Linked DNA regions of Elephas maximus indicus. The protein of the gene in region 1 purifies or fractionates together with the protein of each later gene. This does not show direct contact. Links are inferred from orthologs where the notes say so. Each region holds a gene or a part of one and is shown in the gene's direction. Other genes may lie near its edges.

Region 1 (6,813 bases):
CCTTGAAATGGCTGGTAGGTTTGAACCACTGACTTTTCAGTTAGCAGCTGAGTGCATAACTACTGTGCCACCATGGTACCTCCTTATTGAGACTAGGAGACACTAATCCACTCTCCATAGTAGGGAGAGTGATCCTTTAAAAATCTGTTGGTCACACGCCTACTAAAACCAACCCCCCCTTTTTTTTTTTGTAAAAATATTCACAACAAAACATATATTCAACAATTTTTACATGTATAGTTCATAATGATTACGTACTTCACGTTATGCCACCATTTTCGTTATCTTTGCCCTAAAATTAAACACTTATGATCGTCAAAAGACTTCACCAAAAGAGCAAAAGAGAACCTACAGACTGGGAAAAAAAATTGTGGCTATGATATATCTGACAAGGGTCTAATCGCTAAAATCTACAAGACACTGCAACACCTCAACAACAAAAACACAAATAATCCATTAAAACGTGGACAAAGGATATGAACAGACACTTCACCAAAGAAGATATTCAGGTGTCTAGCAGATACATGAAGAAATGCTCATGATCATTAGCCATTAAAAAAAAAATGCAAATCAAAACTACAGTGAGATACCACCTCACCTGGACAGTGCTGGCACTAATCAAAAAAAACCAAAATAATAAATGTTGGAGAGGTTGCAGGGAGACTGGAACTCTTATGCACCACTGGTAGGAATGTAAAATGGCACAACCAGTATGGAAAACGATATGGCACCGCCTTAAGAAGCTAGAAATAGAAATATCATATGATCCAGCAATCCAACTCCTAAGAATACATTGTAAAGAAATAAGAGCCACAGCACGAATAGACATATGCACGCCCGTATTAATTACAGCACTATTCACAATAGCAAAAAGATGGAAATAACCTAAGCACCCATCAACAGATGAATGGATAAACAAATTATGGTACATACACACAATGGAATAGTACACAACGATAAAGGATAATGATGAATCCGTAAACATCTCACAACATGGATGAACCTGGAGGGCCTTATGCTGAGTGAAATAAGTCAATTACAAAAGGACAAATATTGTATGAGATCACTATTATAAGAGGTTTACACACAGAAAAAAAAATCTTTGATGGTTACAAGGGAGGAGAGGGGTGTGGAAGGGAAATCACTAGTAGACTAGTGTTAACTTTGTTAAGGGAAAGACAACATACGCTATAGGGGAAGTCAGCACAACTTGACCAAGGCAAAGTCATAGACGTTTCCTAGACACATCCAAACACCTTGAGGGACCAAGCTGCTGGGGCTGAGGGCTGGGAACTATAGTAATGGGGACAACTAGGTCAACTGGCATAACATAATTCATAAAGAAAATGTTCTACATCTTACTTTGGTGAGTAGCATCTGGGGTCTTAAAAGCTTGCGAGTGACAACCTAAGATACATCTATTGGTCCCATCCCATCAGAAGCAAAGGAGAATGAAGAAAACCAAAGACACAAGAAAAATATTAGCCCAAAGGGCTAAAGGACCACATGGACCACAGCCTCCACCAACCTGAGCCCAGAAGAACTAGATGGTGTCTGGCTACCACCACTGATCACTCTGACAGGGATCACAATAGAGAGACCCAGAGAGAACAGGAGAAAAATGTAGAACAAAATTCAAATTCACAAAAAAAGACCAGAGTTACTGGTCTGAAAGAGACAAGAAGAACCCCTGAGACGCTGGTCTCTGGACACACTGCTGACTGAGAACGGAGCCATTCCCGAAGACTAGTCTTCAGACAAAGGTTAGACAGGCCTAGAAAACAAACAATGACACATGGGAGAAACATGCTTCTTAGTTCAATTAAATATAGGAGAATGAATGGGCAACTCTGCTCAAAAGTAAGAAGACAGGAAGAGAGAGGAAAACTGGACAAATGGACACAAGGATCCCAGGGTAGAAAAGCGGAGAGTGCTGTCACATTCAGGGGTTGCAACCGATGTCACAAAATGTGTATAAATTTTTGTTTGAGAAACTAACTTGAGCTGTAAACTTTCACCTAAAGCACAATTAAAAAAAAAATGTAGGGTTGCACAGCCAATTTATGTAATTGCTACCAATAGGTTCAACACCCATAAAAAGTTGAATTGGCAAAAGTTGTGTGTTACATCTATTTACAAAAAAAAGAGAGTAGCTGTCGAGGCTGCTTATGTACAACCAGACACCTCATGGGATTTGGTTCCTTGGTTTGGAGGTTTAGGGTCATGGTTTCATGGACAACCTCGTAAGTTGGCCTAAGATTGTGTTTAGTGCTTCTGTTCTACCTCCCAGTTCATGGTGTAGTGCCTGGGGTTTAAAAAGCTTGCAAGGGGGCATCCAAGGCACAGCGATTGGTCTCTATTCACCTGGAGCAACAAAGGAAGAAGGAAAGTCGGAAATAGGAGGAGAAAATGGAATGCATGGCTAATTGCCTCCATGAACAACTGCCTCCTTTGCCATAAAACCAGAAGAACTGAATGGTGCATGGCTACCGTTACTGAACATTTTGATCAAAGATTCTAGAGAAGAATCCTGGTCAAAAGGAGGAAAATTCTGAACAGAATTTCAAATCCTCATGGACTCCAGACCTTCTGGAGCCTTGGAAGCTGGATGAACTTCTGAAACTATTGCCTTGAGATAATCTTTAAACTGAAAACCAAAAATATCCCTGAAGTCTTCTTAAAACCAAACAGTAGTTTAGCTTAACTAGTAAAGAATGTTTGCCTTGAGCATTATGCTTTTTTAAGATCTACCTATATGGGATCAAATTGACAACAGCAACTGGAAAGATAACAAACTTAGGGGGCAGTGAATTTATGTTAATGGGAGAGGAACAACTCATAAAAAGGTGAGAAAGGTTACACAACTCTAAGAATGTAATGTGTCACTGAATTGTACTTGGAGAAACTGTTGAACTGGTGTGTTATACTGTATATATCCTCAAAAACAATGAAAAAAATCAATTAAAAAAATTAGTAAGTGAACCCACAGTCCATTAGGGTCGGGGGACAGCCCCAGCAAGGAAAGACCCTCACTGTGCGTCCTGGCAGATAATCCGAAGAACTGACATGTAGCCCTTTAGATTCATGCATTCAGGGAAACTTACATGGGCAAGCAGATGCTCTCCAGTGGTGGCCGGCTGGAGTATTTTCCACAACCACCTAGCAAGAGACCCAAGCTTATGTACCATTCCAGCTAGGACCAAGGCTCATTGTTTTCTCCCACATCCTTGGGCAGTCAGTGTTCCCAGGGACTTCACATCCAGGCCCAGGTGTTTTCCTTCTTGTTGCTAAGGCATTCCTCGGCCTTGGCCGCTGGCCCAGTCATTGCCACTCCTGGCCTTGTACCTTAGCCTGAGTCCATCCCGAATTCATCCCCAGCACGCTTTGGCGAAGAGCAAAGCTGTTTCCATTAGGGAGGGGATGCATATAGCTGAATAGCATTACCCTACAACTGGTATTGAAGGCTACATTGCATTCCACAATTTGGGGAAATATGGGTTTTTCCTCAACTCCTAGGTTTTCACAGGTGAAATGACTGCACCATGCACAAAGAAAGCAAAAGCCTATTTCATTTCAGGCCATGAATTTCTTTTAAATTTTATTGCAGTAATATATATATCAAAAATTTTATCATTTTTAACCATTTTTAAATGTAGAATTCAGTGACATTAATTACATTCGTCATGTTGTGCTAACATCACCACTATCCATTTCCATAAGTTTTTCATCACTGTAAATGCAAACTCAGTACCCCTTCAGCAATAACATCCATTTCCTCCTCCTCCAGCCCCTGGTAATCTCAAATAACATTCTTAGTATGCATCCTAGATATTTCATGTAAGTGTGATCATACAACTTGCCCATCTGTGTCTGACTTACTTCACTCCACAAGTTTTCAAAGGTTCGTCCATGTGGTAGCATGTATCAGGATTAAATTTCTCCTCATGGCTGAATAGTATCCCATTGTATGCATATGCCACATTTTGATTATCCATTCATCTGCTGGACACTTCGGTTGTGTTCACTCTTTGGCAATTGTAAATAAACTGCAGTGAACATTGGCGTTCTGTTTGAGTCCAACCATGGCTTTTTCCCCCTTAAGTCTCAAGAGGTGGTAGGGAGTAGTTTATCTTTTAAAAAATGTTAATACCTTTCTGATAATTGTATTTCAACAGCAACCCGACCTTTTAATTTCTTAAAACAGATGTATTCCGTTCTGCAATACGTTCCAAAGCAACTTTTTGAAACAACATTGCTCACTGAACTTTTTTTTAATGGTTCTATCAGATAGCTATCAGATACCTCGTAACAAGGTACAAGACCTCGAAGTATTCTTCCATCCTCATTTCCTAGACAGGATGGAAAGCAATCTTTTAATAAAGAAACGAGGTCAGACTTCACTGTCTGCAGCTGTCCTCCGTGGCCGTAGTGAAGGTGGAGTCCCTGACTCCGCCTACTCCCCCATAGTTTGGCCGTCACAACGCGGCTGAAGCTGCCTCACGACCTGCCCAAGCTGGCTACCGGATCACTTCCGTCATCTTCCCGGCTAAGACCCGCCTCCGTTTGCGTATTTTCACTGCGCCGGATAAGGAATTTAGAGTTGGCTTCTGATTGGCCAACTTGACTGGCGACCTTTCCCCTCCGCGACAGTTTCCCGAGGTGCCTAGAGCCTGGGCGGCACAGACGAGAGCTACAACGAAAGCAGGATGGCGGACGTGCTGGATCTTCATGAGGCCGGGGGCGAGGACTTCGCCATGGATGAGGATGGGGACGGTGAAGACAGCGGAGACGGCTGCGGGGAGCGGGGGAGGAGAGAGGGAAGGGTGTATTACTAAAGCATAGTCTCCTTTCTCCCCGGCAGGGAGAGTGGGAGCTGGGGTCAGAGGCTCCACCCCCTATGGGAGGACTGGGGGTGGGACCGGGAAGGGACTGGGACTGCAGACGGTGGGATCCACACTTTAAATATTGTTTTGGTAAAAGGCCAGTTTTTACAAATGGGTTTTGCCTTTGTTACTCATTCCCTTTTTTTGCTTGGTTCCAGAGAGCATCCACAAATTGAAAGAAAAAGCAAAGAAACGGAAAGGCCGCGGTTTTGGCTCTGGTGAGTATTCGTTGAGAAAATGGGGTGGAGTGGTCCAGGAGGGCGGGAGCTACGAGTTTTGGAGACCCCCATGGGGAACGGTGGGATAAGAGGGGAATTCCTGGTGATCTGATGTGCGTTTCTTATAGAAGAGGGGTCCCGAGCTCGGATGCGTGAAGATTATGACAGCGTGGAGCAGGATGGCGATGAACCCGGACCACAACGCTGTGAGTGAAGTGGAACCTGTGGGGTTCTGTGTCCTTAAGCAGTTAGGACCTATAAAATAAAACCGTGTAGGAACGGGGTCAGAGATAGCCTGAGAAAATACTGAAGTCTGCAGCCTCTTAGCTGCCATAGCTCAGCTTAAAGTTTTTTTTGTTTTTATGTCATGTCCTCAAAACCATCTACGTTCATCTCCCTCCCCCATCAACAGCTGTTGAAGGCTGGATTCTCTTTGTCACTGGAGTTCACGAGGAAGCCACTGAAGAAGATATCCATGACAAATTCGCAGAATATGGAGAAATAAAAAATATCCACTTGAACCTGGACAGGCGTACAGGATACCTGAAGGTATCCAAAATCAAATCTCATTGCCTTCCTTCCCACAGACCATTTTTTAAAACTTAGTTTTTTCTGTCGAAGTATGAGTTTAGATTTGAGGAAAAGGATGTCCAGTAAGTCTTGGTGATGTAGAAGGGTTTTGATATTTGTGTTTTCACATCCTCTAGGGGTATACTCTAGTTGAGTACGAAACATACAAGGAGGCCCAGGCTGCCATGGAGGGACTCAATGGCCAGGATTTGATGGGACAGCCCATCAGTGTAGACTGGTGTTTTGTTCGGGGTCCACCCAAGAGCAAGAGGAGGTAAGGTGGAGAAAGGAGTGACTATCTTGGTAAGGGAATGTGAGCAGAAAGAATAAGGGCTTTATCAGACGTCACTCTGATGGACCCCCTTCTCTCCTCTTCCCTAGAGGTGGCCGAAGACGCAGCAGGAGTCCAGACCGGAGGCGGCGCTGACAGGTCCTCTGTTGTCCTCCTGTTCTCTGTCAAGATTCCATTTGACTGTGCAGCCTGGAGAAATTGGGATGGAACTTACTGTGTTTATATTTAATTTCTTAGCCTTTGTCTGCCTTATGTTTGAGTTGTGAATAAATGTCTTACTTTTATTTTCTATATTTAAAATTGTTTCTCTGCACCAACATTGAAAGCTACAAATTAGTTTTTACAGGAAGGCAGTATCAGTCACTTGTGCAGGTACTCCTTGCAGGGACTGAGTTCCATGTGAGTTTCTACATTGGTCATTGTTAGATTGGAGACACTAATTTTTTTTTTTCCTCCGGACAGCTAAAAGATCAGGCATAGCAGCGAGACGTGCTTATAGTATTAAACACTATTTTTTCTGTTCCTATATATTCTGTTCAGAGCAAATGGATATTGTAGGAATGTCTCTTTAGTTTTTCCTGCCACATTTATTTGTGCTTTCATCTGTCTCAGGAGCATTCTGCCAGACCCTCCCTCCTTGAGGACTCTGTGCCTTCTTCAGCAGCCAAGTATGAAGGCCCCATAGAGTAGAAGATCCAGAGGAGTATTGAGGAGGCCAAAGAGGAAAAGGATGTGGCTGAGGCTGGGGGGAACTTCAGGTAGCATGGTGGGGGAGAACCAGTACCACTGACCCAGCAGGTAATAAGGCATCCAGCAGAGGAAGGTCAGCAAAACAAGGAAGGCAAGTTGT
Region 2 (7,093 bases), on another chromosome or scaffold:
GCTGCACTGTGGCTGGGTACCCCCAGAAAACCCCAGGGCACCAGGACACAATCCACAGTCTGCCCTGAGCATAGAGGGAACTGTGGCTTCCTTGTGGAAGTGGCCCGCACGTGTGCCGCCCAGGAAGCCCACGAATCCCCAGGAAGCCCACGAATCCCCACAGATCAGCAGAAGGGCACTTCCCCCACCAAGTGCCTGTGCTGGATGCAGAGACTCAGAAAAGCAAAACAAACACACTGGTTTCCTGCGGGGCGAATACCAAACCCAATCCTTAATCCAGGATTCAGGGGAGCCAAGAGTCCCAGCAAGCAGATCCAAGGGTGGCATCTGGGGTCTGGGTAGAGGCAGCAGCCAGCCCACAGCCTCCTTTTCCACCCCTCCCCCACTTGGCTTGCTCAGGACCTTGAACACAGAGGTGAGGTGATATTGTCGACCAAGAGAGGTGTCTTAGTCATCTAGTGCTGCTATAACAGAAATACCACAAGTGAATGGCTTCAACAAAGAGAAATTTATTTTCTCACAGTATAGGAGGCTAGAAGTCCGAATTCGGGGCGTCACCTCCAAGGGAAGGCTCTCTCTGTCAGCTGTGGAGGAAGGTCCTTCTTCCTGTGCTCAGTCTTACTGGGGTCTGGAAGCATCTAAGTGCAGGAATCTTGGGTTCAAAGGATGCTCTCTGCTCATGGCACTGCTTTTTTGGTGTTATGAGGTCCCCAACTCTCTGCTTGCTTCGCTTTCAGCTCTGGAGAGAGAAAAGGTGGTGTAGGCCACACCCCAGGGAAACTCCCTTTACACTGGATCAGGAATGTGACCTGGAAGGGTGTTACAATCCCACCCTAATCTTCTCTAACATAAAATTACAATCACAAAATGTAGGACAACCACAGAATACTGGGAATCATAGCCTACCCAAGGTGATACAATTTGGGGGGGACGTAATTCAATCCATAACGGGGTTCCCCCCCATCCGCTCTGAGGCACAGCTCCAGGCAAGGTTAGACCAAAGGCACAGTAGCAGCCAAACCTGACATTGCCAGGGCCAGAGACCCAAGGTCCCTAAGGTCTCAGCTCTAGAGCCCGCAGGTTGGTGGGGGCTCCACCTAAGGGCATTGCTGCCCCAGCTATTCAGTCTACCTTGGGGACCAGCACAATTTGGACCCCATGGCTCTGTGAGGGTGAAAGCCAGGGTGCTTTCCTCCCTGCAGACAGCTACTCCCTGGGGAGGTCCCTTTGCATGCAGCCTGGGCTCCACCCCCCCCCCCCCGTGCAAGGACTACAGCTCCTGGGGGTGCCCTGAAAGGGTCCCTAGAGGGAATCTGAGGTGTTCATCCCACACTGAAGTTGGCTTTCAGCTGCTCAGCCTGTCCCCCATAATGAGGCCTGCCAGCAGCCCTGGGGCATCCTCACCCTCCAGGCAGGAGCCCTACTCCCAGAACCCTGGTGCAGGTGGCCCCTGACCCTCCATGCTGGGTCACCCAGGAGCCTGGGGGCTCCTGCGGCCCCTTCCCTTCCCTCAGGTCAGCCACAGATCTGCCCGGAGAGAGGGCTGGGTCCAGCTGGAAGCCCCCATCCTCACCTGACACACCCACAGGGCATTGGCTTCGGGCAGGAGGAGGGGGCTGAAGCTGGGGGCTCCGGCCCAGGGAGCAGAGGCCCTGCCTTCCTTCCTCAACACACAGAGCTGCCCAGGCCCCACAGCTGCCCAGCAGGTGCCTCCCCGGTGAGAGAAGCTCCATGTTGACTGACAGGGAAGGCCAGGTGTGTATGTAGGCCAGCAAGGTCCAGACCAACAGCCTGAGGGTGAACTATGAGAGGTCACTGGGCCACAGAGGATGCGGGCATTGCGGGCAGGGCATTCTTTGACATGAGCACGTACTCAAACTCAGGGCTGCCCCAAATTGCGACAGGTGACCCTGCCCTGGGAAGGCCCCCTTCATGACCTTCCCCAGGACACTGGTCCAAGCCCGAAGGTGGCTTGTGGCACAGAGCTCTAGGGCCAGGGTGGCTGCCAAATGCCTTGTTCGTGCAAGCCCTGCCCTGCCCCACCCTTCCATCATAAACCCACCCAATGCCACCGAGTGGATTCCGACTCATTCTGACCCTACAGCGACCCTATAAGACAGGATAGAACTGCCCCATAGAGTTTCCAAGGAGCACCTGGTGGATCTGAACTGCCAACCCTTTGGGCAGCAGCTGTAGCACTTAACCACTACGACACCAGGGTTTCCCCCTTCCATCATACCAGGGCCAAAGATCACCCCCCTTGCCCAGGTCCCCCAAGGGCTCCCATGGCATCAGCAGGTTGGCAACAGAGACTGGAGGAGGAGAGCCAGGACTCCCAGGGGACAGGGTTCTAGAATTTTCTTTTTTTCCAAACACACTCTTGCTGTTCCTCAAAATGGCAAAAACCAGGATGTTCACTTTCTAAAGCTCAACAGCCAAAATTGCATGTGTTATAACAAAAAGCAGTGACATTTAGAAACAAACTCAAATCCATGTGTCTAGATAAACATGCTTTTAAGTTTAATACAAAATGTGTTAAATTTTATATGCATGCCAAAGTAATTGACTTTAGATAATTTTTTTAAAGATGAGAAGGGGCACTGTCAGCCCAGCTGTACTCTGTCCTCCACCCTCCTCTCACCATGCTGGGGTCGTATGGCCACGCTGACCCCAGCTAGCAGGTCAGTGCAACCCTGAGCACAGGCTCTGGGTTCCAGAATCTTCCCACAGGCGTTAATGGGTAGCTTCAGGTTTACAGAGTCCTTTCTGCCACTGCCTCCTCACAGACCAACACACTGCTGCCTGCCGGGACCACCAAGCCCACCCCATCCCCCAGGCATACCCACTCTGTTCCAAGGACCTTCAAGTTGGCCACGGCAGGGAATGCGCTGTGACATCCGTCGACGCAGAGATTAACTCGTTCCAACTGTCCCACACCAAATCTAGCACCCATCCCACCCCGAGTGGGGCTGACTCCACTCTGGCTATCGTTTGTCTTCCAACTCCTCAGACGCCCTGTGGCTAGGGGTGATGTGTTAAAGCTGCACTCAACATCCTGGATGGGGCTAGAAAGACTGCGGGAAGGGGTATCACCATCCACTGGCTGGAAAAATCACAGAACAAAGCAATGACTTGCAAACCACGTCCATACCATCCATCCGTCCATCTATCCGGGGTCACCAAGCCTCACCCTGGACTCTTTCCTGTCCTTCCCCGCCCCCCACCTAATGTTACCAAGTCATCTTGGCTCCTTCCTCCAACATAATCGGCTTGCATTTGTCTCCTGCTCTCTTCCTTGTTGCCACCAAACCTGTCAGACAACGGTCACCTCAGGCTGAGCCCACCTTCGCTCCTTCCATGAATAATTATGGAGAAACAACTGTCAGGCACAGAAAGGGGCACTGGAGACACCGAGGGGTACACAACTCCGGCGGTCCTCGCCCTCTCGGCGCCGGGTTTTCAAACTCCAGAGCCTCCGGCCCGGGCTGGCGTCCAACACTCTCCCTCTATCCTTGTCTCTGCCTCCCCTCCCTTCTTCCGAAAACGTGCCTGGCGCCCTGGCAGCTTGTTTCACGTGCTGGGTTCGCCCTTCCACTCAGGCCACCTCCTCGAAGCCCCATCCCCTTCCATCAACTTGAGAATCCTCCGCATTTCTGGCTGCACCGCCCACCTGCCTCGCGCTCCGGCCCGCAGCTACACGGTCACCCACAGAACCACGACTCTTGGATCGCAAGAACCCACGCTCCGTACAGGCCCACCCCTTCCCGCCGCCTCCGGCCTGCATGCACCCATGGCTGGCTGGCCGCGCCCCTCTAGGACCCCCAGCCACCCCCGCCTTCGACCCCCGCGGTCCCCCGCGCTCGGCGCACCCGGCCCACCGCGCAGGCGCACCGGGGGGCGGGGACTCGGCTGCGTTAACTCCTCCCACGCCGGCTCTAAAGTGTGCCCCGCGGCCTAGCCTTCCAGGCCCCAGCCAGCCGCTTACCTACCCGCTGCAGAAAAGGTGCGCAACTAGCCCTGGACCGCGCAGGAGACCCATCCAGGAGGGAAAACGAAGTAGCGCCCCCGCGGCCCTTCCCACAAACGGCCGTGGCCCTTTAACACGACGTCCGCCCGCGCCCATTGGCTGCAGTGTTCTTGCGTCATCGCTGTGCGCCCTAGGACGGCGCCTTCCCGCTCCTTAACCCTGACGACAGAGCGGCGCCAGCCTCGGCGGCTGAGGAGAGCTTGAGGCGGTGGCGTCGGCTGAAGATGTAAGTTGGCTGAATCCGACCCCATCCAAGCTTCATGGGCCTCCCGCCAGGCCCAGCGGGACACATCGTGGAGAGCTGCGCCGCTCCTCAACCCGCGATGATGGCCGCGGCCTGGCGGCGCGGGCTTTGAGGAGAAAGAGTGGGCCGGAGCGGGCGGAGTGGGAGGTGCCGAGGCCGAGGCCCGGAAGTGGTCGGGGCCGCTGGGGTTGGAAGGGCAACAGGACCTGAGAAGCCGGAATGCGGCCTTTGTTCGTGGGCCCTGCCCTGGGAGCGCCTACGGCCCAGACTCGACGGGAACGCGGCCGGGGGTCGGCGAGGCCGGCGGCTGGGGCTGGTGGGAGCGGAGCGGCTTTGTGGGCTCCCTTGAAAGGCCGAGTGACCGTCCCTCAGGATTATTTATCCACAACTTCCCTACCCTCCCTCTGTGAGCGTTAACCGAGCTCTTTGCGCTGTTCTCGGTGCGAGGCGCGGGCACTGAGACGGCCCAGCTCTCCTGCCACAGAACGCAGTTGGGCGGGTTATCCCGGAAGGGAGGCGGGAGGCGACGGAAAGGTTAAGGTCATCGGAGGAGAGACGTAGAACAGGCTGCTTCTGTCTCTATTCTAGCATGAACTGTTCCTAAAATGTATCTTTAAATGGGAAACGGTGCTCTGAAGATTTGAGCTGAAACGCCCTCGCCTCTGCTCAAGACATTACTAATTTGTTCTCTCCTCTCCCTGGCTGTTGGACGCGCACCTTTCCGGAGGACGGGGGAGGTGACCGAGGTCCTGGGCCTGTTACCTGAACTCGTGTGAACAGAGAACCTCAACCTTTGCTTTCTAGCACTCAGCCATACCCAGCAAAGCGTTCGCTCAGTCTGTGGTTCTTGATTTTTAGAGTGCTTAAGAATAAACGAGGGGTTGCGACCAATATCACAAAACAGTATGTGTATAAATTTTTGAATGAGAGGTTAACTGGAGCTGGAAATTTTCACCTAAAGCGCACTGAAAAAATTTTTAAAATCCTGTGGGGTAGTTCTACTCTGTCACATGGGGTCACCATGAGAAGAGAAAAAAGAACTCAAAAATGCAAAAGAAAGAATAAACGATGGTGCTTGTTTTTACACAGTGCGCTTCGAAGACTGGGGCTGTGCTCTCAAGATTGTTAAAACTGGGTGTGGGCGCAAGAATCTGCATGTGTGACCTACATGATGCGTTGCGATGTCCAATACAATAACCACTGGCCCCATGTGGCTCTTGGGCACTTGAAAATGTAACTAGTCCGAATTTAAAGTCTGAAAGAATGTAAAATATTTTTTTAACATTTTTTTCCTATTGATTAATGTTGAAAAGGTAATACAGGCAGTCCCCGGATTACAAACAAGTTCTGTTCCTAAGTCTGTCTTTAAGTCAATTTGTATGTAAGTCAAAACAGGTACAGTTCGTATCTAATGTCAGTCAAAGTATATAGTGTACCTTTTTGTATAAAAAACGTGAAAGAAATACTTCCAGATACACTAAAATATCTTTAATATAATATAGCAATAATAATGATGTTTTGATGCACGTCGCAGAGTAGTGCCTGTTTGTTATTATGAACCATTGTACATAGAATTTTTAATATACCGTGGTTTTTAATTTACAGTACTAGGCTTTACAAGGCTTGGTTCGTAATGTAATATGTAAGTCAGATGTTTATAACCCAGGGACTGCCTGTATAGTTTTCGAAATAAGATGCATTACCAGAAGTTAATTTTATCTGTTAATTTTTTTTTTTTTTTGAAATGTGTCCACTAGAAAAAATTGCATTATGCTTGGGACAGCGCTGCAGTATGGTCCTAAAGTGGGCTTTCCAGGGACCCCTGTTGAGCGTTCAGGAGTTACGTGTGACTTTGGAGACAAGAATATATCTAGGAAGAGAGCCTCCAGATGTGGAGAAACAGCCCATTCTTATAATAATAGCTAACATGTATTGAGGAGCCTTGGTGGCACAATGGTTAAGCACTTGGCTGCTAACCAAAAGGTTGGCAGTTTGAACCCACCAGCTGCTCCAAGGGAGAAGAGGCCTGGCAATATTCTCCTGTAAAGATTTCAGCCTAGGAAACCCTATAGGGTAGTTTTATTCTGTCCTATAGGATCTCTATCAGTCAGAATCAACTAAACTGCACACAACAACAAAACATTTATTGAGACTGGACAATTAATGCCAAGTTTTGTTGTGGATTAATTCCATGAATGCCCTTTATAATTCTTTGAGATGGGCACTATAACTCACCATATTGCAGATATTGAGGCTCAGAAATGTTAAGTGACTTATCCAAAATCACGCAGCAAAGCCTCAAATCAAACCCAGGCAGGCTGAGTCCAGACTGAATTGTACTCACTGCTTGTCCAGCAGCACTAACGTGCCTGCTGGGTGTCTCTGGTACCTTATCATTTTAAGGCAAAATTTTTTTTTAAGATTCTACAGCAAGAATCTACAGAAGGAGGAGTTCTCTTTACTCTTATTTGACTCCAAAGCCAGGTGCTTTCTTTCTTGGGTCAGAGCACTTGTTCTTGTAGCATCCCTGGTAGGGACACTCCTACACATGTGGGCACAGGGTCGGGGTGGTGTGCTGTGTCCAGACTTACTTACAGGGGGTTGAGAAAGGTAAGGCAGAAGTTGGGACTGTTATCCTGAGATCTTTGTGCCCACTTGCAGCAAATTGTCCAAAACCTCACTGGAACTATTAGAGGCAGCAGTCCCCAGGAAATAAGGGCATATAGCTAATCAGTACTTTGTTTTGGGGTAGTGTTCATTAGTTACCATTTGTTAAGCATATACTGTATGAAATGTATGCAGTATCTCATTCAATTGCAATA

What was found.
Region 2: the proteins of RBM8A (region 1) and RNPS1 purify together in Homo sapiens (co-immunoprecipitation; 4 studies listed by BioGRID and IntAct, with this or other methods). This does not show direct contact. The link is inferred for Elephas maximus indicus from reciprocal best matches to the Homo sapiens genes RBM8A and RNPS1.

Annotation. Positions count from the first base shown.
Region 1 is NC_064821.1:157,628,341-157,635,153, reverse strand, and holds RBM8A (RNA-binding protein 8A), read left to right. Parts: upstream 1-4,659; 5' UTR 4,660-4,706; coding exon 4,707-4,773; intron 4,774-5,041; coding exon 5,042-5,101; intron 5,102-5,229; coding exon 5,230-5,307; intron 5,308-5,513; coding exon 5,514-5,650; intron 5,651-5,808; coding exon 5,809-5,945; intron 5,946-6,052; coding exon 6,053-6,098; 3' UTR 6,099-6,254; downstream 6,255-6,813.
Region 2 is NC_064830.1:59,328,174-59,335,266, reverse strand, and holds the start of RNPS1 (RNA-binding protein with serine-rich domain 1), read left to right. Parts: upstream 1-4,002; 5' UTR 4,003-4,251; coding exon of another isoform or gene 4,252-4,253; intron 4,254-7,093. UniProt on the Homo sapiens protein: Part of pre- and post-splicing multiprotein mRNP complexes. Auxiliary component of the splicing-dependent multiprotein exon junction complex (EJC) deposited at splice junction on mRNAs.